Linked DNA regions of Mus musculus. The protein of the gene in region 1 purifies or fractionates together with the protein of each later gene. This does not show direct contact. Links are inferred from orthologs where the notes say so. Each region holds a gene or a part of one and is shown on either strand. Other genes may lie near its edges. The genes, in order: Mtmr9 and Atpif1.

Region 1 (15,690 bases):
TGGGGGCCATTCCTATTCAAACTACAACAGAGTCTCAACTGAGAAAATGCTTCCATAAGATTAGGTCTGCCTATAGGGCATTTTCTTAATTAGGAGTTGATTAATTATAGCTCATTGTAGGTGGGTCCACCCCTGGACTAATATTCGTGGGTTCTATAAGAAATCAAGCTAAGCAAACCATGGGGAGCAAGTCAGTAAGCAGCATCCGTCCATGGCTTCTGCATCTCTCCTGCTTCCAGGTTCCTTCCCTGCTTGAATTTCTACTCTCACTGCTTTTGGTGATGAACTTTTGTATGGAACTGAGTGAAATAAACCCTTTCTTCCCCAAATTGCTTTTTAAAAAAAGATTTATTTATTTTATTTATGTGAGTACACTGTAACTATCTTCAGACACACCAGAAGAGGGTATCAGGTCTTATTACAGATGGTTGTGAGCCACCATGTGGATGTTGGATTGGTTTTGTTTGTTTGTTTTTGTTTTTTTGTTTTTGTTTTGTTTTTTGTTTTGTTTTGTTTTGTTTTGTTTTGTTTTGTTTTGTTTCAAGACAGGGTTTCTCTGTGTAGCCCTGGCTGTCCTGGAACTCACTCTGTAGATCAGGCTGACCTCGAACTCAGAAATCTGCCTGCCTCTGCCTCCCAAGTGCTGGAATTAAAGGCATGTGCCACCACGCCCGGCTCTTTATTCCAATCTTAATTACTAATGTTAGTTCTCATATCACCTAGCACAAGGCAAAAATATTGACATATTTATATGTCTACATGCATATATGGGTTACAGAATAAATATAAGTTAAAGAGGCTGCAGCATGGTCCAAGAAGTTTCAGAAGAGGGCTGAGAGAGTCTTTATTTATAAGACAATGAACAGGAACAGTGCCCGTTTTTGCTGCTGCAGTCAAGGTTTGAGAGTGAAGCTGCAGGGTTCAGTTAAAAAATAAAAAAACAAAGTGGGTGAGGAGCCACAAACAGCAGGTCAGGTCAGGTCAGGTCAGGTCTAGATGGGTAACCATGTGAACAGGCAGGCAGTGGAGTAGACCACACCAGTGGCAGAGAATGTAGCAGAGCTAAAGCTCCAGAGACAGTCATGGATTTCCCTGCTTGCTGATCTTTGATCCACACTGTATCTGGTGACAGGTTGGTGTGGGACCATTATATCAGAGTGTTGTGTGTCTATCACTTTATGGAGGCCAGATGAGGGAGTTGTGTTCTTTCTGTGGTCTAGTGTGTCTGATAAGCTCTTGGACCTGGTTTCTGTAGTATAATTTTAATAGACTCATATGCCCATACAGTCTCAACTCATTCCCAGTAAACTTATAGCATGTCTCCCTTTTGATTTCCATTTGTCAGTCTGTGCTGATGGGTGGAACCTGGAAGAAAAGCAGTTGCTGCTCCTCCCAGGGGTTGCAGTCATCCTTTGCCCTCAAAATGGAGTCAAAAGTGGCTTGTAAAGTGAAGTCCCCTAGGGCAAGGCACAGTGTGAAAAACCACTGGGAAACCCAATGTGGAGTAGCTTCGAACAGGGGATAACCTGAACTCAACACAGGACAGTCATCTTTTAATTGGTTACCTCTTAAAGATCTTTATCTCCATATGCAGTCACATTTAGATGTATAGAAATTAGGGTAGCAGTATATGAATTGGGGAATACAAAATTCAGCCCTTAACACCAGCCTGTGAGGCAGCTATACATGTAAATTATTCAGCATGTTCAAGAATGTGGAGAGCTATTATCACATGATGCTGTAGAGATCACACAATGTAGTACCCTTAGTCAGAGGGGAAAATGGGAGACAGTGACATCTGACATAGAAGCTGAAGGACTTCAGGCACTGAGAGGTCAAGAGGACAAGATAGAGACTGAAGAGATGGTTCAGTGTTTAAAGGCATTTTCTGCTCTTGCAGAGGACCTACACTGCCACTCCACTTTCAGGAGATTCAGTGCCTTCTTCTGAATTCCACGGGCACTGCACACACATGATGCACATGCATGTGTTCAGGTAAAACAGTCATGCACATAGAAACTGAATAAACAAATAGTTTTTTTTAAAAGAAGACAAGATATTGGTAGAGACTAAATCTGACAGGCATGAAAAATGAAGGTCAGTAGAAACGAGACCTTCTACCCCATCCCCTCCCTGAGATAGTTTCTCTGTGTAGCACTGGCTGTCCTAGAACTCACAATGTAGAGTGTGTGCTGACACCACCTGTCAAGAATAAGGACTTCTTGAAAGGGAATGAGTAGGAGAGAGGAGATATGATATGCTGCCAGATGCCTAAGGAGGTGTCACGATGGGACTTGGGTTAAGTACAGGGAAAGATTAAAATAAATATCTACAAGACCCAAATGGATTCACTGCTGAATTCTACCAGACCTTAAAGAGCCAACACTAATGTTTCTCAAACTGTTCCATGGAATAGAAAAGTAAGCAACAGTATTACTTTAAATAAAACAGTATTATTTAAAACAGACTCATTTTACAAATCCAGTATTGCCTTGATATCAAAACCAGCCAAAGACATACACACAAAAATTATTGACTAATCTCTCTGATGAACATGGATGCAAAAATTCTCAATAAAAGACTGGTTAGCTGAATTCAACCTCATATAGAAGAAATCATCATGATCAAGTTGTCTTCATTTCAAGTATGTAAGGGTAGTGCAAATTAATAAGTGAAGAACATCACATAAATGGACTTAAGGAAAGAAATCAATGATGATATCAACAGCTGTAGAAAAGGTCTCTGACAAGCCTGCCATCTCTTCATGATAAGAATTCTGGGGAAATTAGGAATAGAAGAAACATTTCAACAAATTAAAGGCGATATAGCTAACGTACTGAAACTCAAAGCATTTTCCCTAAAAGAAAAAAAAATAACCAAGGGTGACTATCTTCTCCACTCTTACTCAGTATAGTGATTGAAGTCTTAGCTAGAGAAACAAGACAAGAGAAACCAGTGGGATATCAGTAGGAAAGGGGCTAGTAAAATTATCCCTATTTACAGATTACATAATAGATCTCACCAGAAAGCTCTTAGAATTGATATATGCTTTCAGTAAAATAGCAGCACCAATGTCAAAGTACAAATCCCAGTTGCCTTCCTATGCCTTCAGTGAACATGCCAAGGAAGGGATCAGGAGAGCAATCTCACACACAACAGCTTCAGAAAAATAAATGTAACCAAAGAAATGAAAGTCTCTGTTAAAGTTCGGAAACATTGGAGAACCCAAAAAGGGCCCTAGAAGATGGAAGACTCTCCCACATGCATGGATATCCACATGAGGATCTCTATTTCTCATTCTGCACAAAAATAATTTCAAAACAGAACAAAGACCTAGATGTGAGATCTAAAACTTTAAAAATGCTAGAGGAAAAGGTGGGGGAAATTAAAGATACAGGAATAGGCAGGTCTTCTTGGAATGGACTTTACTAACAAAGGAACTAATCTGAAAGATTGATGAATGGGATTGTGTGAAACTGAACAGCTTTGTCACAGTCAAGGAAGCATCAGCAGCACAGAGAAGGGATAGCTTGCTGAATGGGAGCAAAATCTTTGCTATATCTGGTGGAGGACTAATAGCTAGAATAGAGAACTCGAGAGACAAGCTATCAAACACCCAAGCAATTCAATCAATCAATAGGCTAATAAATTGATGAACAGAAAATGGCCAGTGGATGTATGCCACTGTGTTCAACATCCTCAGCCATCAGGGAAAGGTAAATTAAATAAACATCGAGATTCTATCCCATTGCAGTCAGAGTGCCCATCCTTTAAAAAGCAAATGCAGATCTGGGAGACAGCTCAGTCAGTAAAGTGCTGGCCATGAAAGCATAAGGCCCCGAGTTTAATCCCCTAGAATACACTGGCAAAAAGCTGGGTGTAGAGCAGCTGAAATAACTTAGGCAGAAAAGGTGCTTGCCACCAAGCTTGTCCATCTGAGTTTGATCCCACCCAAATAAGAGAAGTAACTCCTATATGTTGTCCTCTGATCTCTACAAGAAGATCTATGTACACACACACGTACACACACCACCACCACCAACAACAACAACAAATGCATTTGAGGATGGAGAAGAGCCCTCCTATACTGCTGGTGGGGATGTAAATTAGTTCAAGTGCAACAGAAAACAGTACGTGGCTCCTCCAAAATCTAACAGTGAGATCATCAAGATGGTTCAGCAGGAAAGGATGGCTGCTGACAAAGCCTGATTACTTAAGTTCAATCACCAGAATCCTCAATGTATGAATTCTCACCTAACCCATGCCTGTGTCATGTCATATAAGACATCAATCTTAAAAGGTAAAATAAAATAATAACTGAAAAGAAAACTAACAATAGAATTACCACAATGACCCAGCTAGACCAGTCTTGACCATCTGCCCATAGGACTTCCAATCAAAATACCACAGAGAGACTTGCACATCAATGTTTATTGTAGACTGTTCACAATAGCTAAGCTATGAATCAGCCACATCTGTCAATAGCTGAATGGATAAAAAAAAAGTGACACTCTCAATGCACTTTTATTCATATGCGCAGAAGAAATTAGTGTTTTCAGGAAAGTAGATGGACTTTGGATCATGTAAAGGGAAACAAATCAGATGCAGAAAGACAACAATCACGTTTTCTTGTTTGTAGTTCTCAGGATGAAATTTTTCTGATTATACACCTGTACCATTTTAATCTTGAGAATAAAGATAATAGTAGTACCTGCAAGGCAATGACGAAGTCCTTTAAAATTTTTTCTTAAAAAAACATTCACTTTATTTGTATGAGTGTTTTAACCTGAATGTATGTAGTACTCTTTGTGCTTGCTTGATGCCTTTGGAGGCCAGAAGATGGCACTGGATTCCCTGCATCTGGACTTAAAGATAGTTTTGAGTTTCCATGTGGGTGCTGGGAAGTGAACCTGGGTCCTCTGAAAGAGCAGTGACTACTCTCAATCTCTGAGGCATCTCCCAGTGCTCCTTAATATTTCAATTCAATTTTATGGTGTGTCCTCTCTCTCTCTCTCTCTCTCTCTCTCTCTCTCTCTCTCTCTCTCTCTCTCTCTGTGTGTGTGTGTGTGTGTGTGTGTGTGTGTGTGTGTGTGTGCAGGTGTATATTACTGTGTGGGCCTGGGAGTTTGAAGGTCAATATCAGGTGCATTTCTTGAGTCCTCTGAACTTTATTTTTGAGTCAGTTTCTCTCATTGGTTGGTCCAGAGTTTACTGTTTCTGCTACAGTGGTTGGCCTGTGAACCCTCAGGATCCTCTTGTCTCTGTCCCCCTTCTCTGGCACTGGGGTTTTAGACTCAGATTTCTTCTTTGTATATGTTCTGGGGTTTTGACCTTAGGTCTTTACACTTGCTCCTTACCCATTGTGGTGGTGGGAATAAGAATGGCCTAATAGGTTCAAATATTTGAAAGCATAGGGATTAGCACTATTTGAAAGGTGTGGCCTTGTTGGAGGAAGTGTGTCACTGGGGATGGGCTTTGGGGTTTCAAATGCTCAAGTCAGACCAGCAGCTCTTTAGAGCTTCCTGCTGCCTAAAGATCCAGATGTAGAACTCTCAGCTCCTTTTCCAGCACTGTCTGCCTGTGTGCTATTATGTTCTGCCATGATGATGATGGACTGAACCACTGAAACCAAAAGACACCCTCAATTAAATGCCTTCCTTTATAAGAGTTGATGTGATCAGACTGAGTTAGAGAACAGACTGAAGGAGCTGAAGGGGTTTGCAACCCATAGGAAAAAGAACATCAACCAACCAGACCCTCAGGGCTCCCAGGGACTAAACCACCAACCAAAGAGTACACCTGGAGGGACCCATGGCTCCAGCTGCATATGTAGCAGAGTATGATGTTGTCGGACATCAATGGGAGAAGAGGCCCGTGGTCTTGTGAAGGCTCGATGCCCCAGTATAGGGGAATGTGAGAGCCGGGAGGTGGGAGTGTGTGGGTGAGCATCCTCATAGAAGCAGGGGAAGGGAGGATAGAATAGAGTGTCTCCGGGGGAGACCTGGAAAGGGGATAACATTTAGAATGTAAATTAAGAAAATATCTAATTAAAAAAAAAAAAAGAGTTGCTGTGGTCATGGTGTCTCTTCACAATAGAATGCTAAGGCACCCATTGAGCTATCTTTATAGTCCTTAAGTAAATCCATTGTACACATTATAAATTTTATTATTTTCTTGGCTTATCAGAATCCCCTGAGGCCCTTATTTCTTGACTGTTTGGACAGTTAATATTTGACTACATCATTGGATTATTTTAATAGAGGCATATCCCATTGACTTTGAATTCTACCGCCACCTACTGCTTATGTGGGGAACTGTTTCTTGCTCTTTACTCAGGCTTTATTCCTAACTACTAAGTTTGGTTTTCTCAGCGCTAGTGAACTTTCTACGCTTTGAACTTCAAATCACTGGTGATTTAATTTCCTAATCGTTTCTGGTACTTCATTATAACAACTCAGAAGATACCTAATTTTTTTCTCTTGGCAAAAAACAAATAAAAGGAAAAAATCCTAATTTATGACTTTATAGAGCATGAAACATTTTAACTTAATGAAATAACGTTTTCATAATTTATTTTCAAGAAAACCAGAAGGGCCACAGAATCCATGGAGACTTTCTATCTTCTAGCATATACTAAATTGGACACTAAGTTCTTCCTTGGATATCTTCCATTCGGGGAGCCTTACCCTTCAAGGCTTTACTTTCATTTTTTTCTCTGTATAACTTTTCATTATTTTTCAGATTAAAAGTTTTCCATTCCACAATTTGTAGTTAATACAATGAGTCAAGTGAGGAAGGAAAGTAAACAAATCCGGTGTGGAAAACACCTCCACATTACTTCACCTCAGTCCATCAGCATCCATTGCTGGTTGTTTTCCTTTTGCAGATAAACTGGATCGCAGGAGTGAGTGATTTAGGAAGGGAAGGTTTTTAGAAAAGACAAGAACAAAATCAAGGACAAACACTGTGCAATCTGGTCAACTTCACTTTGCACACTCTGAAGTCAGCTACCTTGCTGTTCGTAGACACTGACTGGGTGGTGAGAATTTTCACTGCTAACACAGTAAAAGCAGGCCAGGACTCAAACATAATTCTTATTCTGGGATAAAGTAGAGGGATAGAAAGCAAGAAGAGGGAAATTCTATAGGTGGAACAACATTATGAACTAACCAGTACCCCGGAGCTCTTGACTCTAGCTGCATATGTATCAAAAGATGGCCTAGCCGGCCATCACTGGAAAGAGAGGCCCATTGGACTTGCAAACTTTATATGCCCCAGTACAGGGGAATGCCAGGGCCAAAAAGTGGGAGTGGGTGGGTAGGGGAGTGGGGGGGGGTATGGGGGACTTTTGGGATAGCATTGGAAATGTAAATGAGGAAAATACCTAATAAAAAATTAAAAAAAAAAAAAAAGAAGAGGGAAATTACAACAGCAAAACTCTGTCATTGCAGTGTCCGTGAGCAGTTCAGCTAGACTGTACTTAGCCGGGATACTATGAAGTCGTGACCAATATACCAAGGTCTTGATTTCAGGCTTTGCTACAGATTAACTGAACTATCTCTGAAGACACTAGAGTCCTTTCGCAGGGCGAGGATTAGTCAGTTTCTCTTTCCATCCTTTTAGAATATGCTGTTCTTGGTTAAAGTCATGGCGCTCTCAAAGAGTCTAAAGCATAGATTGTCCCATGTCTCTTCCAGACACCAAGATGCTACTTTTCGATCACAACCTCCGCTTCCATCCTACATTTGACATCTCTTCGTGACCAATTCATGAGACAACTACCAGGTAGCGCAAACGAAGAGCCCTTGAGGGACAGCACTCATGTGGAGGCTGGCAGGTCAGCGACGTCTTCTCGTCTCGCCTTTTCCGATAAGGAATATTTGAAGGGCAAGGATTGCGGCGGTAGAAGGTGAAAGAGGTTTTGGTTGGTTTTGTTTTGTTTTGTTTTGTTTTTCCATTGTAGGACCATAAAGTCATTGTTTCTGGCTGTGTTCCACCGGATCTAGCAAAGTACCAACTTCCGGTCCGGTTTCTATGTCTTCCGAGTCTCGAGTCCCTCTAATTGTGCAGGAGTTCCTGCCGGGTGCAACGCTCAGCAGCTACTTCCGCCAGAAGTCCCTGGCTGCTCGGGCTCGGATGCTGCTGCCCCGACGCCGGGTCCGTCTCCTCCGCAGCCCGCCCGTCAGACGCCGGTGGCAGCGGGGAGTGCAGGGCCTGGCGGGAAGCCTTCTCTGCGACCGAGTCCCGGCCAGTGGTGCGGAAGAGACTTGGAGAAGCGGCCAGGGCGGTGCCCGCAGGCCCTGGCGCACCCGCCCAGCCGGGGCGGGGCTCGACCTCCCGGGCCCGCCCAGCCGGGGCTCCGTCCGGGTCTGCGGATTAACCGCCGGGCACCTGCGGGACTGGGCCTCCCGCCCCTAGGCTGCGCCCAATATGGAGTTTGCGGAGCTGATTAAAACCCCACGGGTAGACAATGTGGTGCTGCACCGGCCTTTCTACACCGCCGTGGAAGGGACCCTGTGTCTGACAGGCCACCACCTGATCCTGTCTTCCCGGCAGGACAACACGGAGGAGCTCTGGCTCCTCCATTCAAATATCGACGCCATCGACAAACGGTGAGCGCCCACCACACCCAGGTCCCGGAGGAGCCTGGAACGGAACAGACGCTTTCAGGTGGTTTTTTATGGGTATCCTGGCTCAGCCAGCCAAATGAGCCTTCTGGGGCCTAGATCTATCTGCACTGGCCACCTGGCATCCCCAGGCTAAGGTCTCAGAGTCGTAGTGGTCATTTTGAACAGCATTTGGGCGTATTTTTAAATGTTCTTTGTAAAAAAAAAATTTCTTCCACCACATTTCTTGAATTATTGGTTGTTGTTAATCTGACTTCACGAAGTTATGATTCAATACAATTTAAAGCGACCCCTCCCCCACGATCTCGTTTTTAAATAGGCATGCTCAGCCCTTTGCAGCATAGGCCGGTCTTGAACTTCCAACTCTCCAGCCCCAGCCTCCCAAGTAAGTGCTGGAATTACAGTTGTGTGTGTATGGGCCGCTATGCCTGGCCATAGTATTTAACTGAGTACACTGTCATTTTTTCCATATATATGCATATGCATTTTAGTCTCTCCTTAAAACGTTTTAAAATCGGTAAGGTGCACCCCTGTAATAGCTGATGGGGAGTGCCGATGCAGGTGGATGACAAATTTTACACCCCTGCTCATTTAGGGAAGACTGAGTTTATCATATTGCATCTTACTTATTCTCTGGAATGATCACTTCCCACTGAGGGTAATCATTAGCCCTTAACATTCAGTTTTTCTTGTGAAAAGAAAGGGGCTGGCTCTAAAGGAACATAGGAACTAATTCATCTTTATTTCCCTACTCCATCACTTTAAATTTTTTATTTTTACTTATGTGTGTATGTGTGTATCTGTGTACAAGATACCATCAGCAGACTACTAGACTCCTCAGTTCATCTTTATTGCATAAATGTATTCAATGGTCTCTCATGCCTGCATGATAAAGACTGAATCCCTGGTTCTCTGTGTTCTGGTTCTCACCTACTGTCCTCACTAGTTTTCTTACCATTTTCATGATTTCATGTAATTTCTTACAGATTTGTGGGCTCTCTGGGTACCATCATCATAAAATGTAAAGATTTCCGAATCATTCAGTTGGATATTCCTGGAATGGAGGAGTGTTTAAATATAGCCAGTTCCATTGAGGTAAGTATGCTGCAGGCAAAATTCTGATAGGAAAATGGCGATATTTTGATTTTGTACAGCCCTTGATGCATAAGAATCATTTACTGTGCGAATCTTGCTACTTTCGCTCTGAAGACAGTTTGTGAACTGTTTTTCTGTTTCTGTAGATTTCCTGAAAGAACATCCTATGTGAAATTGTAAGCCAGTAAAACAAATACAGTGTAGCTGATTGTGGCCATGTTACAGTCCTTGGGCATCACAGTGAGCAAGTGTGGTCATCCTGAGTGGAGCAGCTCTGAAACCCTTCAACTCTGAGCAGTGCTCTTATACTGTGATTGTTGCAGTAGTGAGGTCCTGTTAACATGGGGCCTATGGGTGAAGCACCTCACCTCTCACAGTTAGCCTGTAGTGTCTTATAAAAGGAAGATGACATTACCTGCCTTTTATAGGTGTTTTACGATTACATTCGTGGGTTTATGTAGAATGCTTAGTATAATTATTGGCAAATGGTTGCTGTCATTGGAGGACCCTTCTATGGCAACAGCTTTATTTTGAGACTTTGTGGTAGAAATTAGCCATATCACATAAAGTTCACTGTCGTACCATTTCTTAGCTTACCATTGCACTGTGTGTCAGATGTATACTCTCAGTGTTGTGTATACAGACAAAGCAAGTGATTGTCACCAACAGTTGCCATTTGTGACTTTGGCATGTCTGCACGTATGTATTTGTTTTTGCCAGTTCACCTAAGGCGTGTCTGTTTATGCATGTATAAAAGCGTTGAGCCACACATAGAAACTTTGCTTGGATAGTTTAAGGTCTCTGATGAAGGTCTCACATTCTTTTCCTTCTTCTAACTATTTTGGTTACTCCAACTTTTAAATTGCTGCCACTAAATTATATCAATTATATCAACTGACTGTTTAAAGTAATTTCTAGGCAATTATAGAGTCAAGCTGATTTTATTTTCTTTCTGTGTAACTGACTTACTGGGCTTTATGTAAAAAAAAAATAGTGGGTTTAGCTCTTAAAAGGAGAGAGAAAGCCTTAAATCTATAATTAGAATTTTGTTTGGCTTTCAACAAGAAGTAGAGGATCAAGTAATATGTTGTCGAGGAAATGACACACAAACCTTTCTGCTTTTGCCAAGTTCTACTGGAAGAAATGAGCATGTAAGTTGAATAGTCTGCCATATGTAGTTGTCACTTGGAAGTATGCTCTTGACTTGGCTGTACTCCCCAACATGAATGAGAAAGCAAACTGAGATAATGTTCCACTGTTTGGACAGAGGGATGCCTAGGGCTCACTTTGGTTGGGCATAACTAGTGTAGCATAGAGATAGTAGGACGCCTCGCCAGATCCCTTTAGGAAGGAGGAAGTGAGTGTGGATGAAGCTTTCACATGTGTGTATCTTGTTAGAGCTAGTTTTATTGTGTGCATTGACTGTTGTTGGCCTATTAGATGCCTTATCTCCATGGACACTCCTAATAAGCCTGAAAAGTTTCTTCCATTGAACAGGGGAAGCTATGTGACTTAACCACTATGTAGCTGGGATCTGGAGCTTGAGGCTTCTGGCCAGAATTGAGCATTCCTTTATATAATAAAGGAATAATTGATAAGGGGACATAGCTTTTGAATAGTTTGCAGTGTTTAGTTAATTACTAGATTTTTAGCTGAGACTTTACTAACTAATCCAGACCTCCTTGTTCCCCAGCACCCAGAAATTCTTGGACATTTTATTGAGCTTCGTTAAATTGTACCAGGAAGCATTATTTCACTAGGCACAGACTGTCCTGGTGCCTGTTTCATTCAGGCAGCACTTGTTGAGTGTAGGTGTTTGTGTCAGTGTCTTGTTAGATGATGAAGTATGAATGCTGGAGTCAGACGAGCTGCATGGAGAGACACGTATTGGGCTCCATCATCACCAGACCCTGTGTGCCTACTGCTACTTTGTTAGATTTGTAGAATCTTTTTCTTTCTGTTCTCTAGGCATTGTCCACTCTGGACTCGGTCACCCTGATGTACCCTTTCTTCTACCGACCCATGTTTGAAGTGATTGAAGATGGCTGGCATTCTTTCCTTCCTGAGCAAGAATTTGAGTTCTACTCTTCTGCTGTGAGTCAACATTTGACATTGTGGGTGATAAGAACTGACACAACCCTTTATTTTACTTGTGAAAATCCTCTCTTCCCTTTGAAGATGAGTGAGGTGGAGTTGGGTTATTCGTGCCTCAAGTTAAGAGTGTGCACTGGCTGTTGGTTCAGCTCCTTTTGTTCTGAGCTGGTTATTTTGTCCGTGTGTTAGTATAATGTCTGCAGCTGGCAATGCTTTTCCTTCTAGTAGATTAACATAGTCTAGGTGTTTTAATTTTTTTTTTAAATTATATTTATAAATATTGTTTTAAAAAATAAAAATAATGGTCTGGGGAGATGGCTCAGCGGTTAAGAGCACTAGCTGTTCTTCCAGAGGTCTGAGTTCAATTCCCAGCAACCACATGGTGGCTCACAACCATCTGTAATGGGATCTGATGCCTTTTTCTGGTGTGTCTGAAGATAGGATCAATGTACTCACATACATGAAATAAATAAATCTTTTTTTTTTTTTTTTTTTGGTTTTTCGAGACAGGGTTTTTCTGTGTAGCTCTGGCTGTCCTGGAACTCACTCTGTAGACCAGGCTGGCCTCAAACTCAGAAATCCACCTGCCTCTGCCTCCCAGGTGCTGGGATTAAAGGCATGCGCCACCACGCCCAGCAAATAAATCTTAAAAGAATAAATAAAAATAAAGCACTGATTTGCTTAAAGCTCACCTTGGCGACTGTGCATTAATTAATAGGTATCTCCTGACTAACGACTTAATATATAATAGATTTGGGCACTGTGTGCCTAAGATAGTGCTGGGGAACTCCTCACCTGGCTTGTGCACTGCTCTGGGTTAACGCCTGGCCTGGTCTCTGAGGCCACCTGCAGGAACCAGGTTTTCCTTCCTGACTGTTTGGCTTCTTTTTCTTACTTTTATAAATGGTCACTTGGAAATCAAGAAGTAGAGGTTAGGGATCCATGGCATTTGAAGAATGAAGATGCCCGTGGTAGCAGAGGGAAGAAGGAAGTTTTATGGTATGATAAATACCATTGAAAATGGTGAAAATGTAGTTTAGTCTAGAGCTTGTTTGAGAGATGTGTATTAAAGACAAAAAGTTGGCAGGAATCAAACTGCATGTTATGAAAAGCATGGGGTAAGGGGGAACCATAGGCTCCTGAAGGATGTGTCTAAAATAAGAAGGGAGCCAGGGTTTGAATTTCCTGGGAAGCGGGAAGAACAGTCTGTAAGAAGCATCCTTCAAGTGTGGGGAAGCAGCAGTTTGGCTGTGCTCATAGCTTACTGCTCCCCCTGGGCTAGGAAGCAGTGAGCGTGTGCGCTTCACAGGGTCAGGAATCGAGGCGAGTTTATTCCTATGCGGTATTTCTGGCACATGACCAGCAAGTGGTAAAGAGTTGTTAAGTGAATAAAAGAATGTAAGACTTTATGGTATTTATAGAATGGGACATAAGATCTTGTGTCTATCATTAGAAAACCTTTGAGAAGGACGGGTTGTCTTGATCTGTAGATTTTGGAAAGCTGGGTAATTTTTGTTGTTGTTTGTTTGTTTTGAGCTTCTTTTGTTTGCCAACCACAAAATTCTATAATCATAGTATTATCTACTTCTGCTTATCAGTTATGTCTCTTCGCCCCATGCAATGTGATATTAAAAGAACAGAATATTTAGAATATCTATAAAGACATCTCATTAGTCTCATTCAGTGGCTTTGTTAGAGATCAGCATACTGTGGCATTGGTCGTTCAGAGCAGCTCACACTCTGACAGAAGCCCTTGTTCCTCTAGGAGGAAAAGCTAGGAAGGAGCCTGAGGCGATCAGTGATGCAGGAGGGCAGTGAGGAACCCTGGGCAGGAGCAGGCCTGAGAAAGGAACCTTGACATTGTGTGCAACCCAGGTCTCTGGCTGTGAACAGAGTGAGCATGGAGCTGAGCCACCATGCAGCACAGGCTGTGGACTTCATTAAGCTACCAAGGTCTAAAAGCATGCTAAAAACCTCTGCACCAAATGTGTCTGCTTTCACAAGGGCTGTGATGCAACCAAAACTATAGAGTAAGAAATGTCACCCATTCTCCTGAGGACAGAGTCAAGAGGCACTCAGCCTGAGATGGCCCAGATGTTTGAAGGATTCTAAAGCAGTAGTTAAAACTGCCTAAGGAAATATGAGAAAGTGAGCACAAAGTGGGAACAGTACAGAAATCAGGTGGGGCTGGAGACATGGCTCAGTGGTTAAAGAGAGCTTGCTGCTTTCCAGAGGACCTGAGCTGGGCTCTAGCATCCTCATGGGGCAGCTTGCAACTACCAATAACTCCAGCTCTAGTGAATCCCATGGCCTCTTCATGCCTCCACGGGCACATGTGCACATGCTACAGCAGGCACACATGCACACACATACACCGAGTCAACAAAGTAAGTAAAAACTTTTGCAAAATGTTTGAAAATAGAAGAAAGCAATTAAAATTTGTATGAATTTGATCTTGTAAATTAAAGTTTCTGTTTCACATTTTACCCTAATTTTCTATTAACTTAAGCCAGGGTTGATATGTAGGATCAGCTTGAATTTTTAGGCACATATTAAAGTTTGCACATGTAATATGGGTTTTTAGCTGTAAAGTGCAGTTTTACATTTTACATGCAGTTTTCATTTCTGCTGTTTGATGGTTTCCTGTCACATGCTTCCATAATGCAGGAGCTGACTTAGAAACGACCTCATGACACATAAGGGCTTTCCAGGAGTGTCTCCTTGTCATAAGGAAAGAACTGTCTTTAACTGTCTTAAACCTTTGCCAGGCTGTCTTGTGGAGAGCTTAGGCTGTGCTGTCTGTGTCATAGTTTAAGCTTCAAATGATGGTTAAGCGTCACATACAATAGGTGTGTTTGGCTGGCACAAGCAAGCAGTTTCTAGGGACACTGATCACTAGGCATTCCAGAGCTATTGAAGCTGGTGTGAAGAGTGGAATTTTTTTCCTCTACAGGACTTGAGTGTGGGCTAGATATCCAAATTCCCTGTTGAATGGCTTCCCTGGAAATCATTTCCAAAACTTTTAAATCTTAGATGCTCTATGACACTGAAACGGTGGCTAAGTTTTGAAGTGCTATGTGTTTTTCAGACCAGTGAATGGAGACTGAGCTATATCAATAAGGACTTTTCTATCTGTCCTTCCTACCCACCAACTGTCATTGTGCCCAAGTCCGTCGATGACGAAGCACTTCGGAAGGTAGCAGCCTTCCGACATGGGGGGCGCTTCCCAGTCCTGAGCTATTACCATAAAAAGAATGGCATGGTGAGTATGAGGGCTGCCACTCTGCTGGCGGGTGGTCTCCTGTGGGCTGGATCCTTGAAAATGATCTCTTGTCTGTGTGGCTTTCCTCTGAAGTCAGGCCAGATTGTTCCTACTAGTGCATCCTTCATGTAAACTGCAGGGCCCCAGGAGTGGGAGCTTTCCCAAAGATGCTCTAAATTCTTTCTTACTGCTCAGCTTTAGAAAGGTTAGATTCATCTTCAGAGCATAGTGTGAAGGAAACTGCAATAGAAAATCTGGGATCCGGTAGGCCGTTCATAGTCTGATGGAGTGACACCACTGCTCCAATGTGGAGCCTCAGCATGTTTATTATGGACAGGACAGGGGAGGGCCCAGCTAGGTGAGAGGTAAGCTAGCAGGCTCTGCACTTGTTAGTTTTGCATATGCTGTCAACATTTATGCTCAGAGGAAGGGTGTGCCATTTCTCTGACCTGACCTTGGGCAAGATTTTGTCTATTTCCCATGAGTCTGTGGCATTGGTCTTTGTGACATGGCCTGCTCATATCAGCAAGACACTTCACTCAGGGCTTCCTAAGTTCCTCACAGGAGATACAGCAGTCTAGAGCTTGCCCCACGTAAGCTTTCCAAATTACT
Region 2 (15,658 bases), on another chromosome or scaffold:
CCTGGGCGGTGGTGACGCACGCCTTTAATTCCAACACTTGGGAGGCAGATGCAGGCGGATTTCTGAGTTTGAGGCCAACCTGATCTACAAAGTGAGTTCCAGGACAGCCAGGGCTATACAGGGAAACCCTGTCTCGAAAAACAAAAGACAAAAACCAAAACAAAACACAGATGCTACCCTTAAAATAGAGTATACCTCTTGGTGACAAGGTAGAAACTGAATTTTTGTCCTTGTTGGGGCCTTCAGCTCAATGTCTTGGACAGAGAATAAACTGCTCAAAGAGCCAGGCCAGTGACTCTCAGTTCCAGCCACAGTTTGGTGGGGGGAAACACAGGGAGATTTTTAAAAATACCAATGTCCAGGACCAAATTGTTTTGATTTTTATTTTGCTGAGGTACGGTCTTACTGTGTTGCTGGCTGGCCTCCAATTCTCTTGACTCAGTCTTCTGAATTCTGAGGTGTTTGCTACTACCGACAGCTATTTTTGTTTCTTCTTTGATTAAAAATATATTTGTTTAATAGCCAGATGTGGTGGTATAACCATTAATTCCAGCACTCAGGAAGCAGAGGCAGGTGGAGCTCTATGAAGCTGAGGCCAGCCTGGTCTACAGAGCACGTTCCAGGACAGCCAGGGCTGCACAGAGAAACCCTATGTTGAAACATCAAATATAGTAATAAGATTGTATATGTATGAGTCTTTTGGTGTTTGCCTGCATGTATGTATACCACATCCATGCTTGGTGCCTTTGTCCCTGGATCTCCTGGAACTGGAGTTACAAGCAGCTATGAGCCATCCTGTGGGAGCTAGGAACCGAACACAGCAAATGCTCAACTGCCGAGCCATCTCTCTAGCTCCCTCTTCTTGTGAGATAAGGTTCTGCAATGGAGTCCAGGGATGGCTTGAGATGTGCCTGTGTCAACCTTAAGTGTTGACATTATGAATGTAAGTCACCTTAGGTAGGAGGGCCTGTGGGAGAGGTGTGTGTGTGTGTGTGTGTGTGTGTGTGTGTGTGTGTGTGTATGTGAGTGTGTGTGTATGTGAGTGTGTGTGTGGTATATAGGTACTAAGGTGTATGCACATGTGAGCACCTGAGCGCAGAAGATATCTTTCCTCATTCTCTTAATTGCTTTGTATTTTTTTGTTTTGAGACAGGGTCTCTCATTGTACCGAATGCTTATGGATTACGCTAGGCTGATGGCTGATGACTAAGCAGCTTTGGAGATCCTCCTGCCTCCAGCTCCCTTTGCCCCCCTCCAGACTAGTTACAGGTCCTCATGTGGATACAGAGGGCACTTTATTGTCTGAGCCATCTCTTCAGCCATACATTTGGATTTAATTGGTCCTAAGATAATGTTGATTCTCCTCTTCTTCCTCCCCACCCTTCCCCAACTTCTCTTCCCAGGCTGGGACTCAAACCCAGGAACTATTCAAGTGTTTGACCAGTGGGGTAGACTTTTTGTTTGTTTGTTTGTTTTTCAAGACAGGGTTTCTCTGTGTAGCCCTAGCTGTCCCGGAACTCATTCTATAGACCAGGTGGCTTTCATCCATCTGCCTCTGCCTCCCCCCAAGTGCTGGGATTAAAAGTGTGTACCAGGGGCTGGCGAGATGGCTCAGTGGTTAAGAGTGCCGACTGCTCTTCCGAAGGTCCCGAGTTCAAATCCCAGCAACCACATGGTGGCTCACAACCATCCGTAACAAAATCTGATGCCCTCTTCTGGAGTATCTGAGGACAGCTACAGTGTACTTACATATAATAAATAAATAAGTAAATCTTAAAAAAAAAAAGATTTGTTAAAAAAAAAAAAGTGTGTACCATAACTGCTCAGCTAAAAACAACTTTTGGGTTAACTGCTGTGGAAACCTCCAAGAGCTAGGATCACGAGTTTGCACTGCAGAGGCATGCACAAACATGCTGAAGGGCCTCCTGTCACAGCCGACATGTCAGTGCCAACACAAACCACAGCCATGTCTACACTTACCCAAGGAGCCTGCATCCATCGATCCATCCTCTGAGGAACAGACAGCAACCACTTCTCACACCGCATGGAAGAGGGAACTATTGGCATCAAAACCGCAGCCCTGGAACTGTAGCTAAGGGTTTTGAGAGCACTATCGGGAGGAAACAGCTTTCTGCTCAGGACAAACTTCACAAGACCTTGGAGAAGTTACCTCACAACCTGCTGCAACTCTGGCTATAACATGAGGCTGAGGATGTAGCACAGTGGTAAGGTGCATACTTATAGTACATACGGGTAAGAACCTTCATTTGATTTCCAGGAGTATCAAGTCTAAAAAAGTATGCATAATTAATGAAAATGGGGGTGCTGGAGAGATGGCTCAGCGGCTAAGAGCACAGCGACTGCTCTTCCAGAGGTCCTGAGTTCAAATCCCAGCAACCACATGGTGGCTCACAACCATCTGTAATGGGGTCTCATGACCTCTCTGGTGTGTCTGAGAGAGCAATAGTGTACTCATGTATATAAATAAATAAATATTTAAAAAATTAATGAAAATATTTTGCCAAAAATAACTTCAGATGTAACAAGCAGATAATTGTAACTTGCTCTGTAACTTTTACATCTTGTGCAAGCTGTAAATAATCTATTTTATAAAATTCTATAGGATTAGCTCTTTTTTTTTTCAAGACAGGGTTTCTCTGTGTAGCCCTGGCTGTCCTGGAACTCACTTTGTAGACCAGGCTGGCCTCGAACTCAGAAATCCGCCTGCCTCTGCCTCCGGAGTGCTGGGATTAAAGGCGTACGCCACCACGCCTGGCTTGGATTAGTTCTTAAAGAAAGAAAATGGGGGGCTGGAGAGATGGCTCAACGGTTAAGAGCACCGACTGCTCTTCTGAAAATCCTGAGTTCAAATCCCAGCAACCACTTGTGGCTCCCAACCATCCATAATGAGACCTGAAGCTCTCTTCTGAAGTGTCTGAAGACGTGTACTTACATGTAATAAACAAACATATATATCATAAAAAAAAGGGCCGGGCAGTGGTGGCATACTCCTTTAATCCCAGCACTTGTGAGGCAGAAGCTGGTGGATTTCTGAGTTTGAGGCCAGCCTGGTCTACAGGACAGCCAGGGCTACACAAAGAAACCCTGTCTCAAAACCAAACGAAACAAAAAAATCAAAACAAACAGAAAACAAAAAGAAAAGAAAGAAAAGAAAAAAGGAAAAAGAAACCAAAAAAGGGCTGGTAGGATGGCTCAATGGTTAAAGGTGTTTGCCACCAAGCCTGGCAATGATCTGGATTTGACCCCCAGAACCCACATGGTAGGGAATGGAGTCCTCTCCTAAGTTGTCCTCGGATCTCTGCGGCAGAAACATACTCACTCACCACTCCAAACCTTCCCCATACCTAAAATAACTGTGTAAAACACACACACACACACACACACACACACACACACACACACACACACACACACACAGAGTCCACAGCAGTAGAACGCTGAGTCATCTAGACATTGAATACTCACACAACCGGGAAGACTTCCTCAATTCCAATGCAAGGGGGAAGAAAGGTCTGCCCTGAGATCTCTGCACTGAGGGTCATAAGTTTTACTGTGTTATTCCTGGCAACGTTTTCCATACCTAGTGCTGGGATTATACCAGGCCCTCATGCATGTCTAAGCAATGGCTTTACTATGGAGTTAGGTCAACTGTTGGTCTCAGAAGGCCAGACTGTTTTTTGTTTTGTTTTGTTTTGTTTTTTCCTAGAACTAACTGACCAGGCTAGCCAGGAACTAACAGAAATCTGCCTGCCTCTGCTTTCTGAATGCTAGGATCAAAGGTGTGTGCCACCACTGCCTGGCTCTATGTATCTTTTTAAAAAAGAATTTGTTGGAAAGTGAAAAAAAAAAAAAAACCAACTTTTTTTTTCCTGAGACAGGGTTTCTTCGTATAGTCCTGGCTGTCCTGAAACTCACTCTGTAGACCAGGCTGGCCTCGAACTCAGAAATCCGCCTGCCTCTGCCTCCCGAGTGCTGGGAATACAGGCGTGCGCCACCACGCCTGGCTTTGGGAATGATTTCTAATTGTAGTTGTCTCACGCTTAGAGCAATAGCTAGTTCATATGAAAGAGCCAGCCTTCTAGTAAGACAGTGCTATTGTTTCTGGTCCTAGCCTTAGAAACCACTCTGTTTACTCTTTCCTCCAGACCGCAGCTAGGCTTAGGCATTGGACTGGGGTTTACGTTTCAAGCTGTCTCTGCACATTCTGATTAGACTGAGGTCAGGGTCACACCCTCCCCCGTACTCTATTTAGTAGAAACCCTCAATTCATTCTAATGGATGAGAAGTTTCTGTCCCTTAGTGGTTCTCAACCTTCCTAATGCTTCAACCCCTTAAAGGTTTGGTTGCTACTTCATAACTGTAATTTCCCTGCTGTTTTTCCGATCAGAATGTCAATATTTGATGGTTCAGATGTCCTTAGGCGGCTCCCGTGAAAGGGTCGTTCTACCCACAAACGGGGTCTCAAGCCAAAGGTTGAGAACTGCTGCTCTAGACAGTAGAAGGCATCAGGCAAGTTTCCTGGTGATCGTTTATTATCTGTTAGTAGCACACAGACCAAATAGTAATCATTCAAAGCCATGTGTCTACAGACGTGGGGAGTGATACGGGCCACTCTGTGAGGGACCGACTGCGCGCATTCAATGATTATTCTTTAGTTGTTGGATCTTCTTCTTATGGCGTTCAATTTGCTTCTGCAGACGCTCTATCTCCTTCGAATGGTGGTCAATCTCATCTTCATGGTGTTTCCTCAGGGCAGCCAGCTGTTCTTTAGTCTTCTCTCTATAAAGAAACAGTGGCTGAGGGATTTAATCCAATCTTTCATCTCAAGGAGATCTTTACTTTACTTTAATCACATTTACTTGTATATGTGCACAGGGTGGGGTGGGAGGTGGGGGGTGCAGCTTGTGGGAGTCAGGGTTCAGTTCCCAGCATCCACATGATGGCCTACAACCATCTATAACTGCAGTTCTAGGGGCTTCAACTGCTGTCCTTGGATAAGTTCCAGATTGAAGTTTCCTGAGTTGGGAGGGAAAATTGGCTCTGGAAACTTTCTCTCCTAGAGAACTCAGGCTCCATTTCTAGAACCCACACAGCAGCTCACAAGCACATGTAACTGCGGTTCCAGGGTACTAGCCTCCACAGGTACCAGGTACTCATGGGATATACATACATACATATATGCAGGCAACACACACACAGAAAATCAGAGTGAAGAGACGGCTCTGAGATGAAGATAATGTATTTCTCTTCTAGAAGAATCCAAATTCAATTCCCAATACCAATGTCAGGCAGCTCACAACTATCTGTAACTCCTCTCTACTGGTTTCTGATGGTCCCCACACACTTGGCCCAAGCATGCATACACACACACAAAAGTGCACATGCACATACAGGCATGTTTAAATAAAGGTGTGCAACACCGTGATCAGCTTTTTTTTTTTTTTTTTTTTTTTTTTACATTTTTTACATTTTACATGTATGTTTTGGCTGCATCTTTTTATGTATGGCTTTCATGGAACTCAATATGTAGACCAGTCTGGTCTCAGACTCAAGAGCTCTGCCTGCTTCTTCTGCCTCTGTCTCTAGAACACTGGGATTAAAGGCACAGGATACATGCATGTATTGCCCATGTAGGCCAGAAGGGAGTTTGAGATGCCGTAGAACTGGAGCTATGGACAGCTGTTAGACACTGTGAGAGCACTAGCAATAGAACCTGGTTCCTCTGGAAGAGCAGTCATTGCTATTAGGCCCTGAGCCATCTCTCCAGCATAGGACCTCAGGTTGGTTCCCAGTACCCGTTTCTTTTCTTTTCTTTTTTTAAATTTTATTTTACGTATATGAGTACACTGTTGCTGGTGGATTCCATTACAGATGGTTGTGAGGCACCAGGTGGTTGCTGGGAATTGAACTCAGGACCTCTGGAACAGCAGTTGGTGCTCTTAACCGCTGAGCCATCTCTCCAGCCCCCAAGCACCCATTTCAAGAGTTTAGAACTACGTGTATTTCTAATTCCAAGGGCACCTAATCTCTAACTCCCAATGGGCACCTGTACTTGTGCACATATCCCAACACCGTCACAGAATTAAAGGAAAGAAAACTCAAACACAATCCAACAAAACAATAATACATAAGGTAAAGGACATAGGTCCCAAGCCAGGAGTGGTGGCATAGCTTAAAATTCCAACACTTGAAAGGCTGAGGCAGGAGAATTGCCATCCTGATAATTGTTTTGTTTTTAAGATTTATTTATTATACATAAGTACACTGTAGCTGACTTCAGACACACCAGAAGAGAGCATCAGATCTCACTATGGGTGGTTAAAAGCCACCATGTGGTTGCTGGGATTTGAACTCAGGACCTTTGGAAGAGCAGTCAGTGCCCTTACCCGCTGAGCCATCTCACCAGCCCCCTGATAATTGTTTTTTTTTGTTTTGTTTTTTTTGGGTACTGAGACTTGAAATCCAGGTCTCTGTTTAAGTTCTTATTCCATAAATGAGCAACAACCCCTATGGGCTTAGGACGCAGACCAAAGGAGAAACGGAAGCAAGATTAGTTTCTGGCTGCTCTCCAGTGGACAGAAGTTAAAGATAACTCAGGGCCGGGAAAAGGTTGTAGATAGACCTAGTCCACTCCCTATTTCTAACCAGTCCAGAGAAATGTACAACCCAGGGCCTGAGTAGTGCAAGTCTCCCGGAGTGGGGGAAGTCTAACCTTGAGCAGCTACTATCTAGATCATGAGAACTGGAGACACGTGGAGGATCTAGAAATGGCTGACAGGATCTGAGGCCTCAGGGAATGGACACAGCCTTACAAAAACTAAAGAGAGGAGAGGGAAGTTGGGGAGAAAAGATGGGGGTGACAGGTGAGTGAGCCGGGCTCAGAGGCTCTGCATGTTCTGGCTAGTTGTAAACACTGCTCGGAGCACCTGGGGGAGTCTCGCACAACCAGGGGTGCAGAGGGGATGACTGCGGGGGAAATGCGGGGAAGATGACAGCAAACGATAAATTAGGAGACTACCCTTGGGCTGAGTCCTGCAGAACCGGTGTAAAAGGCTTAAGGCTGGCTGGGAGGCCAGCAGTGCGATACTAGCAGTCTCGACTACGAGGCGACCCGATGGCTTCATCAGCCTTGGAATTCTGCCAGAAGATGGGCGCCCCAAGGGACCAGGTAAAGATGGGTGGAGCGACAGAGAGCGTAGAAAGGACAGGGAGGACGACTGGGGGCTGGACTTGGGACCAGGTGGGCCTCACCGGAAGTACCGATCCTCTTCAGCCTTTTCTCGTTTTCCGAAGGCTCCACCAGCTTCTCGGATGGAGCCAGCGCCCGTATCCATGCTATCCGACTGCAAAGAGAGTCGTGGACGTGAAAAGAAAAGGCACAACAAGGGAGAGAGAACCTGCGCCCCGCGATGGGCGCTGGGCCGTGCCGCCACCTACCGAGTCCGAGACGAAGCCTCGGGTTTGCAGGACCTTCATACCCCAGACACCGAACCGAGCCCGAACTGCCAACGCCGAGCCTGCCATTGTCTTCGGCGTTGCTCAGCTCGCGTTGCGGGCGTGGCTGCTTCTCTCCTAGCGCGCTAACTGCGAGGGCGGCTGAACTGCCAATCTAGACGCCGGGGAGGTGGGACGAGCACGGAAACCGCGAATCAGGAGGGAGGGGGCGGGGCTTATGATATCTGCAGCGTTTGTTGAGAGGGAGGCGGATTTATCCCTTAGTTAACAGTTAATAAACAAGGCTCTAACGCATCATGACCCAGGAGTCTACAGAGCGAAGTCAAAAGATGAATCTTGGCTTTTGGTCTCTTTAGAATGAGGCATTTCGTTCACTCCCACTGCACAATTTCCGTCCAAAGGTCGATTTTATTAAAAATGTACACGATGGCAAGCCCTATGGACATGAATAGATTGGGGAAACACAAAGTTTGTGGTAGCCATGCCTAGGATGCCGACAGCCTGGATATCGACCTCAAACCTCTGTTTATACATATGAAATCGTGTTTATCTCTTAAGAGGTGTTCTTGTTCTTTGGTTATATTGCCACTGCAGTGCCTTCTCTCACCTTAAATGTCACTTTCTCAGAGAAACCCTTCTTTGACCTTCCTAGTCATCCTGACAGCAATTTTTTTTTATCCTTGCTTCTGAGTTCTTTCTCACAGTTTACTTTGTGAAGCCATCAGAGCCTTAGTAGGTAGTGAATTAGTAATTTTGAACTGTATCAATGTGTCGGTGAATGGACCTAATAACTTGGTGACGGGCTACAAGGACACTGAAAAGAACATCAAGCGAACTGGTGGTACAAACCTGTAATCCCAGCACTCCTGAGGCACACAGGAAGAGCTTAATCTAGCTTAATCTAGCCTATTCGACAAAGGGAATTCTGGGCCAGCCAGGGCTTCATAACAAGATCCTGTTTTCAGAAACAAACGAATAAACACCCACACCCCCCCATACACTCCCCCCCCGCACCCCCCCCGCCCCCCACACATAGGGCTAGTGCTGGGCCCCAATGGTGAAAGGAGAGAACGGACTCTTGAAAGTTGTTCTCCCTGACCTCTCCATGTGCATTGTGACACTGTGCCCCCACTAATAAGTAAGTATAATTTTAAAAATTAAATAACAAACTCCAAGCACAGATCCTTATACATGCATGCTCATAATTGCTTCCATCCCATTTTCCGATTTTGTCCCTACCTCAATGAGATCTGTTGTAACTCGGGATGGCCTCAAACTCGCAGTGAAGAAGCCAATTTCTCATCTTTCCGTCTCCACCTCCCCAGAGTTGGGGTTACAGGCATATGTCCAGCTTCATAATACTATTTCACAGTGGTCCAAAGGTGAGAAGACCCCAAATGTTGAACTACTGAAGAGGTCAACAAATCATAGCATAGACATACCTTTGAGGAATTGGATGCCACCATAAAATGCAGTAAAAAAAAAAAAAATTTTTTTGACAGTTTTTTTTTCACAGGCCTGGCTGTCCTGAAACTTACTATAGAGACTAGGCTGGCCCCAAACTCAGAAGATCTGCCTACCTCTGCCTCTGGAGTACCAGGATAGGCTCCACTGGGATAAACTCTTAAAAAACTGGTACATGGTGGTTACCCAGGCCAGTTCCAGCACTCCAGGGAGTCATGTAGATCTCTGTGAGTTTGAGGTCAGCCTGGTCTACAGAGAGAATTCCAGGACAACCAAGGCTACACAGAGAAATCCTGGGTCAAAAAAACCAAAAAACTGTCACATGAAAAAAACCTAAATAAGAATTGTATAAGTAGATTCCATCCATGGGAAATGTCCAGAATAATAATAGGTATATCCAGAGACAACAGATTTCTTTCTGTCAGAGACTGGAGACAACCAGGGCAACACTATGAAACTTTATCCTTATTCTGAAAAACCAAAACTAAAACCGAAAAAAAAAAAAAAGAGGTCTCGGCCCCTTTAAGTTCAGCTGGCGGGCGGGGAGTCCGGGAAGGCGGGCTTGGGTGGTTACGTGAGGCTGCGCTTGCGCAGAACGGTCACGTGGTGGTTAGCCGGGAAAATGGCGGCTTCGGGAGAGAGTGGTGCTTCGGGTGGCGGAGGCAGCACAGAGGAGGCATTTATGACCTTCTACAGTGAGGTGAGCCCGGAGTAAGGATGGTGGCCTTAGGACGACCGTGCTCCGGCTTCGTCCGCCGCGGCTGGGGCCGGCGAGGCGCCTCCTGGGACCGTTGGCCCGCGCCGTCTGGCCTGGGGACTGCGGATCGGCTGCGGAGTGCATGCGCGACCGCCACTGTGGCTACTGAGGTCCCCGGAACGCGGCGGGGCGGCTGGGCCTGTGGACCCAGACCCGGAGAGGGGCCCGGCGAGCTGCTGGTCGCGCGGTGCAGCCTGCTGGCGGTGGAGTCTCCGGCTGGCGGAGGCCGAGCTGCGGCGCACCCACTTTTATTTGTAAACAGGAAGGAGGCCCTTGTCCCACTCCTCTGCCATGAATTGTGCGAGTGGCGATTTCTGCGGTCTTATCAGTGCTGAGCACTGTTCATCGGGACAAGAATGCGTATGTGAACCCTCCATCTTTAACATGACGAACCTCTTAAGAGGGTGCATACGTTCTTGGTGTCAGGTAGGACAGGAGTGAACTTGCTCTGAGCCTTGTTGACATTTGCATCGCCAGTGCCTAATGCGTGGTGGATGTTTCGCATATATCCGTTGATTAAATGAATGAATAAACTGAGTTAAAGTTAGCTATCTGGCGTCAGAGGCCCACATATTGCGTTCTCGCAAGGCAATTAGCCTAACTGCTGTTGAAATTTCAAGACATCAGTTCCCACACTGGCAAGTTAACATTGTAAGAGTTTTCACGACGATTAAAGGGTTTCGTGTATAAAAAAGCAGCTTGAAAATTATAAAGCAGTCGTTTTCGAATTAAGTACTTTCTGGTAGCCCAGGTTGGACCCTCTTGCTTCAGCCTCCAAAGTGCTGGGACCAGAGCCATTATCTCTTGTGCTTATAAGAATACTTGTAAGCCGGGCGATGGTGGTTCATGCCTTTAATTCAGCACTTGGGAGGCAGAGGCAGGCGGATTTCTGAGTTCAGGGCCAGGCTGGTCTATAGAATGAGTTCCAGGACAGCCAGGGCTACACAGAGAAACCCTGTCTCAAAAAACAAAAACAAAAAAAAAATTTTTTTTTTATGTTAGGAAATATTTTTTTCCTTCACATTGTTAGCATATTTTGCATTGCTCACAGTTGGAGAAATTTTGGTCCATCTTGGTGGAAAATGGAGGCAGGGCAGTTGACATCCTCAGGCAGGAAACAGAGAAGAAAGGCCTGTGCTTCCCGGTGCAACATTGACAATCAGCACGGACTCTGATTTAGCCCTCTTGTGTTTTTATTATATTTTTTTAAATTTAGTTTTGGCTTTTTGAGACAAGAGTTTCCCTGTACAACCCTAGCTGTCCTGGTGCTTTGTAGACCAGGCTTGCCTTGAACTCACAGAGATCACCCACCCGTGTCTGTCAAAGATGGTTGCCGCCATCACCCTGCTTGTCCTTTTGTTTTTAAGACAAGTACCCAATGAAGCTTAGGTGGCTTTACTCACTTCGCAGTGTAGGCTGCTTGGAACTAGGGCTCACTCTCCTGCTTCAGCCTCCTAAGTGCTCGTGTACAGGAATGAGCCACCACACCCAGCCGTTTTCTTTTGCCAAGGGTCAAACCCAGGATCTTGTGCATGCTAGGCAAGAACTCCACCAACTGAGCCACCTCGTAAGTCCTTCATAATGGTGTTGAATGTTGCTCATAGGTCATGGTTCAGTGTGCATTTTGCCTTTCAAAATGAAAAGAAAAAAAAAGATAGATTAATTGTACCCACATGCAGCTATATAGGTCTCTGGTGGTAGTTGTGTTTAGTATCTGGGAATCCTCTCGACCTCTGATTGTGAGTCAGACATAGGGTAAATTTCTAACAAGTTAGGTAATTGGAAACCTCACTTTCTGTAAGCCATAATTTCCCTATAATGGGATAATGGGGGCTGGAGAGATGGCACAGCGGTTAAGAGCACTGGCTGCTCTTGCAGAGGTCATGAGTTCAATTCCCAATAACTGCATGGTAGCTCACGATCATCTGTAATGAGATCTGATGCTCTCTTCCGGCATGTGGGTATTCATGCAGATAGAGCATTCATATTCATAAAACAAAATAATTAAAAAAAATGTGGAGTGGCTAATACTCCTGGAGAGAAGTGTTTACATAGTAAATGTGAATTTTACAGATTGCATGTAGCGTACATGTATACACAAATGGGCACAGAGGTCATTGTCATATGTTTTTCACTGTCCATATTATTCTTTTAGACAAGACCTGTCACTGAACCTGGAGCTCAGCAGTTTAGCCGGGCTGTGCAGGGTGTGAGCTCTGGGGGCCTCCCTGTCTCCTCCCTGCCCAGCTCTGGGTTTCCAGGCGCACGCGGCCATGCTTAGCATTTACGTGGAGATCTGAAATATCATTGTAAAATAGCTACGCCGCTGTGGTTGTTCTCCAGTTACCAAAGTGTCTTGGACATGGGAGATATAAATCGTTGTCTGCTGAGCATTTTAGCGTTGTGTTAAAGTAGATATATTTAGCTTATTCTTACTAATGGGATTACCAATTCTTTTACTTTTAGGTGAAACAAATAGAGAAGAGAGATTCAGTTCTAACATCCAAAAATCAAATTGAAAGATTGACTCGTCCTGGTTCCTCTTACTTTAATCTGAACCCATTTGAGGTGAGTAGATTGTTACTGTAGAGTTTGGTGGGAGAGCTTTGCATATGACAGTTATGTACGAGTTCGTTATTGTTGCTGTAGCTTCTATGGTGGACAGCTTTCCATACGTATACGTAAGTAGGGTTGTTTGTTTGTTTGTTTGTTTTGAGACAGTCTCATGTATTCAAGGTTGGCTTTGAACTCCAGATTCTCCTGCTTCAACCTCCCAAATGCTGAGATTGTGGAAATGAACCAGCATACCTGGGTTTTTTTGTTGTCTTAGGTGTATTTATTATATTTATATGAGTACACTGTAGCTGCTTTTAGACACACCAGAAGAAGGCATCAGATCCCATTACACATGGTTGTGAGCCACCGTGTGGTTGTTGGGAATTGAACTCAGGACCTCTGGAAGAGCAGTCAGTGCTCCTAACCGCTGAGCCATCTCTCCAGCCCTGGCCAGCTGGTGTATTTTTTTTTAAATGATTTTAGAGCTTTATTGTAGAAAAGCACAGAGAAAGAGGGAAGGAAAAAGAGAGAGAGGCCCGCCATGGTTATGTGGAGAGAAGGGGGGAAGGGAGGGGAGAAGGGAGCTAGAGATGAGAGTAAGAATGTCGAGCTAAAGAGCGCCAGCTGTTTTTGAAACAGGATGTTACTGTAGCTCACTGTGGCCTGGGGCTGGCTCTATAACCCAGGTTAGCCTTGAGGTTTGACTCTATGGTTCTCCTGCCTCAGGCTCTAAGTGCTGGGGTTATAGGTGTAAATCATAGTACCTGGCTTGGGAGCAGACTTATGTAACAGCGTACACCCCAAAGTTCTATTGGTTGGGAATGAAAAAAGGGTGGTGATGTTTTTGTGACAGGCAGGTTGTCTTTGAGGTTGAATGCTTTTATTGTGAGTAGACTTGTTGAGGCAGCTTGTTAAAGCACCAAATGAGATAAACTTGGTCTAGTTAAATGTTCTCCAACCTTTAGTAGCCCAAGTAGACAAGGATTTGTTTGTTTATTTTGCTATAGTTGGTCTGATAAACTTATGGTTTTTGACCTTAAAAAATGGTAGTCCCAGATAAGAAATTCTCTGTGCATTTGGGAGGCAGAGGCAGGGATATCCCTACAAGTTTGAGGTCAGCCTGGTCTACATAGAAAGGCTTGGGCCAGCCTAGGGCTCCAGCAAGACCTTGCTTCAAAAAAATAAAACAAAACAAAGTAAAAACTTTGCTAAAACTTTTTTGTTACAGGAAAATAAGAAAACCAGATATTCAGTAAAAACAGAACTAAGATCAGGAGATTTTAGAGAAGCGAATGCCCTTTGAGTTTTTGAACATATCTCTAATGTAGCCCAGAGTGGCTCAGCCTAGTCCTCCCACTTCCTAGTCCTGAGCACTGGGAGCACAGCGTGCACCACCCACTGCGCCTGCCGCTGAGCATTTCTTCTCAACACTAATCACTGTTCTTTCTCATGTGATAGAAAGCCAAAAGTCATTTACCTCAAATCGCAGTGGGTTGGCAGTGTGTCCTCCTTTTTTTCTTCAACACAGGGTGGCAGACAGATTCTGGTGCTACCCTCAGTGGCTCTATTTAGGTCTATTCCTTTAACCCTCTAAATACACTGATTATTATTATTTTTAAAATGTTAATGTATGTGTATGCCTTGTCTGCATTTGTATATGTATACCATGTACATGCCTAGAATCTATAAGAGGTGTCAGAGCTGGAGATCCAGGGGTGTGACCCACTGTGTGGGCGCTAACTCTCCAGTGGGGGCTCTTAACCACAACCACTGAGCCCCCCCCTCTGTATGCAGTGGGGGCTCTTAACCATTGAGCCGTACCTCTCCCCTTCCTTCCCCCCCCTCACTCTCTCTAATCTTTGATACTGGGAATCAGACTGAAAGGGCTTCAAATATTACTTAAGCATTTTACCATTGTGCATACTAGATTGGCCCTTGATTTTTTTTTTTTTTTTGGTTTGTTTGTTTGTTTTGTTTGTTTGTCAAGATAGGGTTTCTCTGTGTAGCCCCGACTGTCCTGGATCTTGCTTTGTAGACCAGGCTGACCTCAAATTCACGGTGATTCTCCTGCCTCTACCTCTTAAGTTCCGGGACTAAAGGGGTTGTGCCACTCTGCCTGGCTAAGGTTTATTTTTATATACACACACATATACATACATATACTTTTAAAATTATGTGAATATGTGTAGATTTGTGTTCATCAGTCCAGGTGCACATGGAGACCAGACATGTTGGATTCCCTGGAGTTACAGGTAGTTGTGAGCCATCCAAGATGGGAGCTGGTAACCAAATTTGGGTCCTCTGCAAGAGCAACAAGTATTCTTTTTTTTTTTTTTTTTTTTTTTTTTTAAAGATTTTTTATTTATTATTATATGTAAGTACACTGTAGCTGTCTTCAGACACACCAGAAGAGGGAGTCAGATCTTGTTACGGATGGTTGTGAGCCACCATGTGGTTGCTGGGATTTGAACTCTGGACCTTTGGAAGAGCAGTCGGGTGCTCTTACCCACTGAGCCATCTCACCAGCCCGCAACAAGTATTCTTAATCACTGAGCCATTGCTCCAGCCACTATTTTTATTTAAACTATGTGAACACGTCTGTGTGGGTCTCTATACCTGTGAGTGGGTGAGAAGGTGTGCATGGGGGGCCAGATCTGTTGCATTTCCTGGAGCTGGACTACAGGTGGCTGGGAGCTGAGCTCTCCTCGTTCTAGAGCAGTGCATGATCTTAGCCTCTAAGCCATCTCTCCAGGCCGTTTTCATTTTTATAATCAGAGTCTCTCTTTTTAGCTTAGGTCAGCCTATAACTTTTGTCTCAACTTCCTAAACACTAGGATTATAGGTGTGAACCAGTGTGCTGAGCCTATGTTCATATCTTTACCCTACTCATCAGTTCTGACAGGGCGTGCTTGGCAGCCTACTCGGAGCTTGCCCTCCTCATCCTTTCTCAGCACTCCATGTCAAGCTGCTGTTCTGTGTGGACACCATTCTCCCCCAGCATGGGCTCTAGCACTTGACTAAGTACTACTTGGGTGTTCACTCCCTTCCTTGTCCTGGTGAGCTCTGTGCTCTGTGTTCTGGACTATGAGATTGAGTGAATAGCACTTCACTTGGTTTTACTTAATGGAATTAATTATACTGCCCAGGACCAAAGTGGAGACAGACGGCATGTAAGGAGGTGGCTACATACTTAAACACACGCACACTCACATATACAGATTCTCACCCCTCCTGGATTGGTTGGTTGGTTGGTTTTAAGATGATGTCTCATGTCTCAAGATTGGCATTGAATTTGTTACATAGCCACGGATGGTCTTGACTTTCTGACCTTACGTGGCAGACTTCCAGGACTACTCCCTGCAGTTTTCTGTTTTTGTTGCAACTGTGCTGCTTGTAACCAAGGTT

What was found.
Region 2: the proteins of Mtmr9 (region 1) and Atpif1 purify together in Homo sapiens (affinity purification with mass spectrometry; 5 studies listed by BioGRID and IntAct, with this or other methods). This does not show direct contact. The link is inferred for Mus musculus from reciprocal best matches to the Homo sapiens genes MTMR9 and ATP5IF1.

The regions. Positions count from the first base shown.
Region 1 is NC_000080.6:63,536,380-63,552,069, reverse strand, and holds the start of Mtmr9 (myotubularin-related protein 9), read left to right. Parts: upstream 1-8,116; 5' UTR 8,117-8,430; coding exon 8,431-8,612; intron 8,613-8,945; exon of another isoform or gene 8,946-9,012; intron 9,013-9,613; coding exon 9,614-9,722; intron 9,723-11,690; coding exon 11,691-11,816; intron 11,817-14,904; coding exon 14,905-15,078; intron 15,079-15,690. UniProt on the Homo sapiens protein: Acts as an adapter for myotubularin-related phosphatases. Increases lipid phosphatase MTMR6 catalytic activity, specifically towards phosphatidylinositol 3,5-bisphosphate and MTMR6 binding affinity for phosphorylated phosphatidylinositols.
Region 2 is NC_000070.6:132,526,024-132,541,681, forward strand, and holds Atpif1 (ATPase inhibitor, mitochondrial precursor), read right to left. Parts: upstream 9,392-15,658; 5' UTR 8,716-9,391; intron 7,913-8,715; 5' UTR 7,546-7,912; coding exon 7,459-7,545; intron 7,365-7,458; coding exon 7,273-7,364; intron 4,801-7,272; coding exon 4,659-4,800; 3' UTR 4,532-4,658; downstream 1-4,531. Other genes in the region: Dnajc8 (dnaJ homolog subfamily C member 8), read left to right, coding at 9,563-9,640, 12,164-12,265.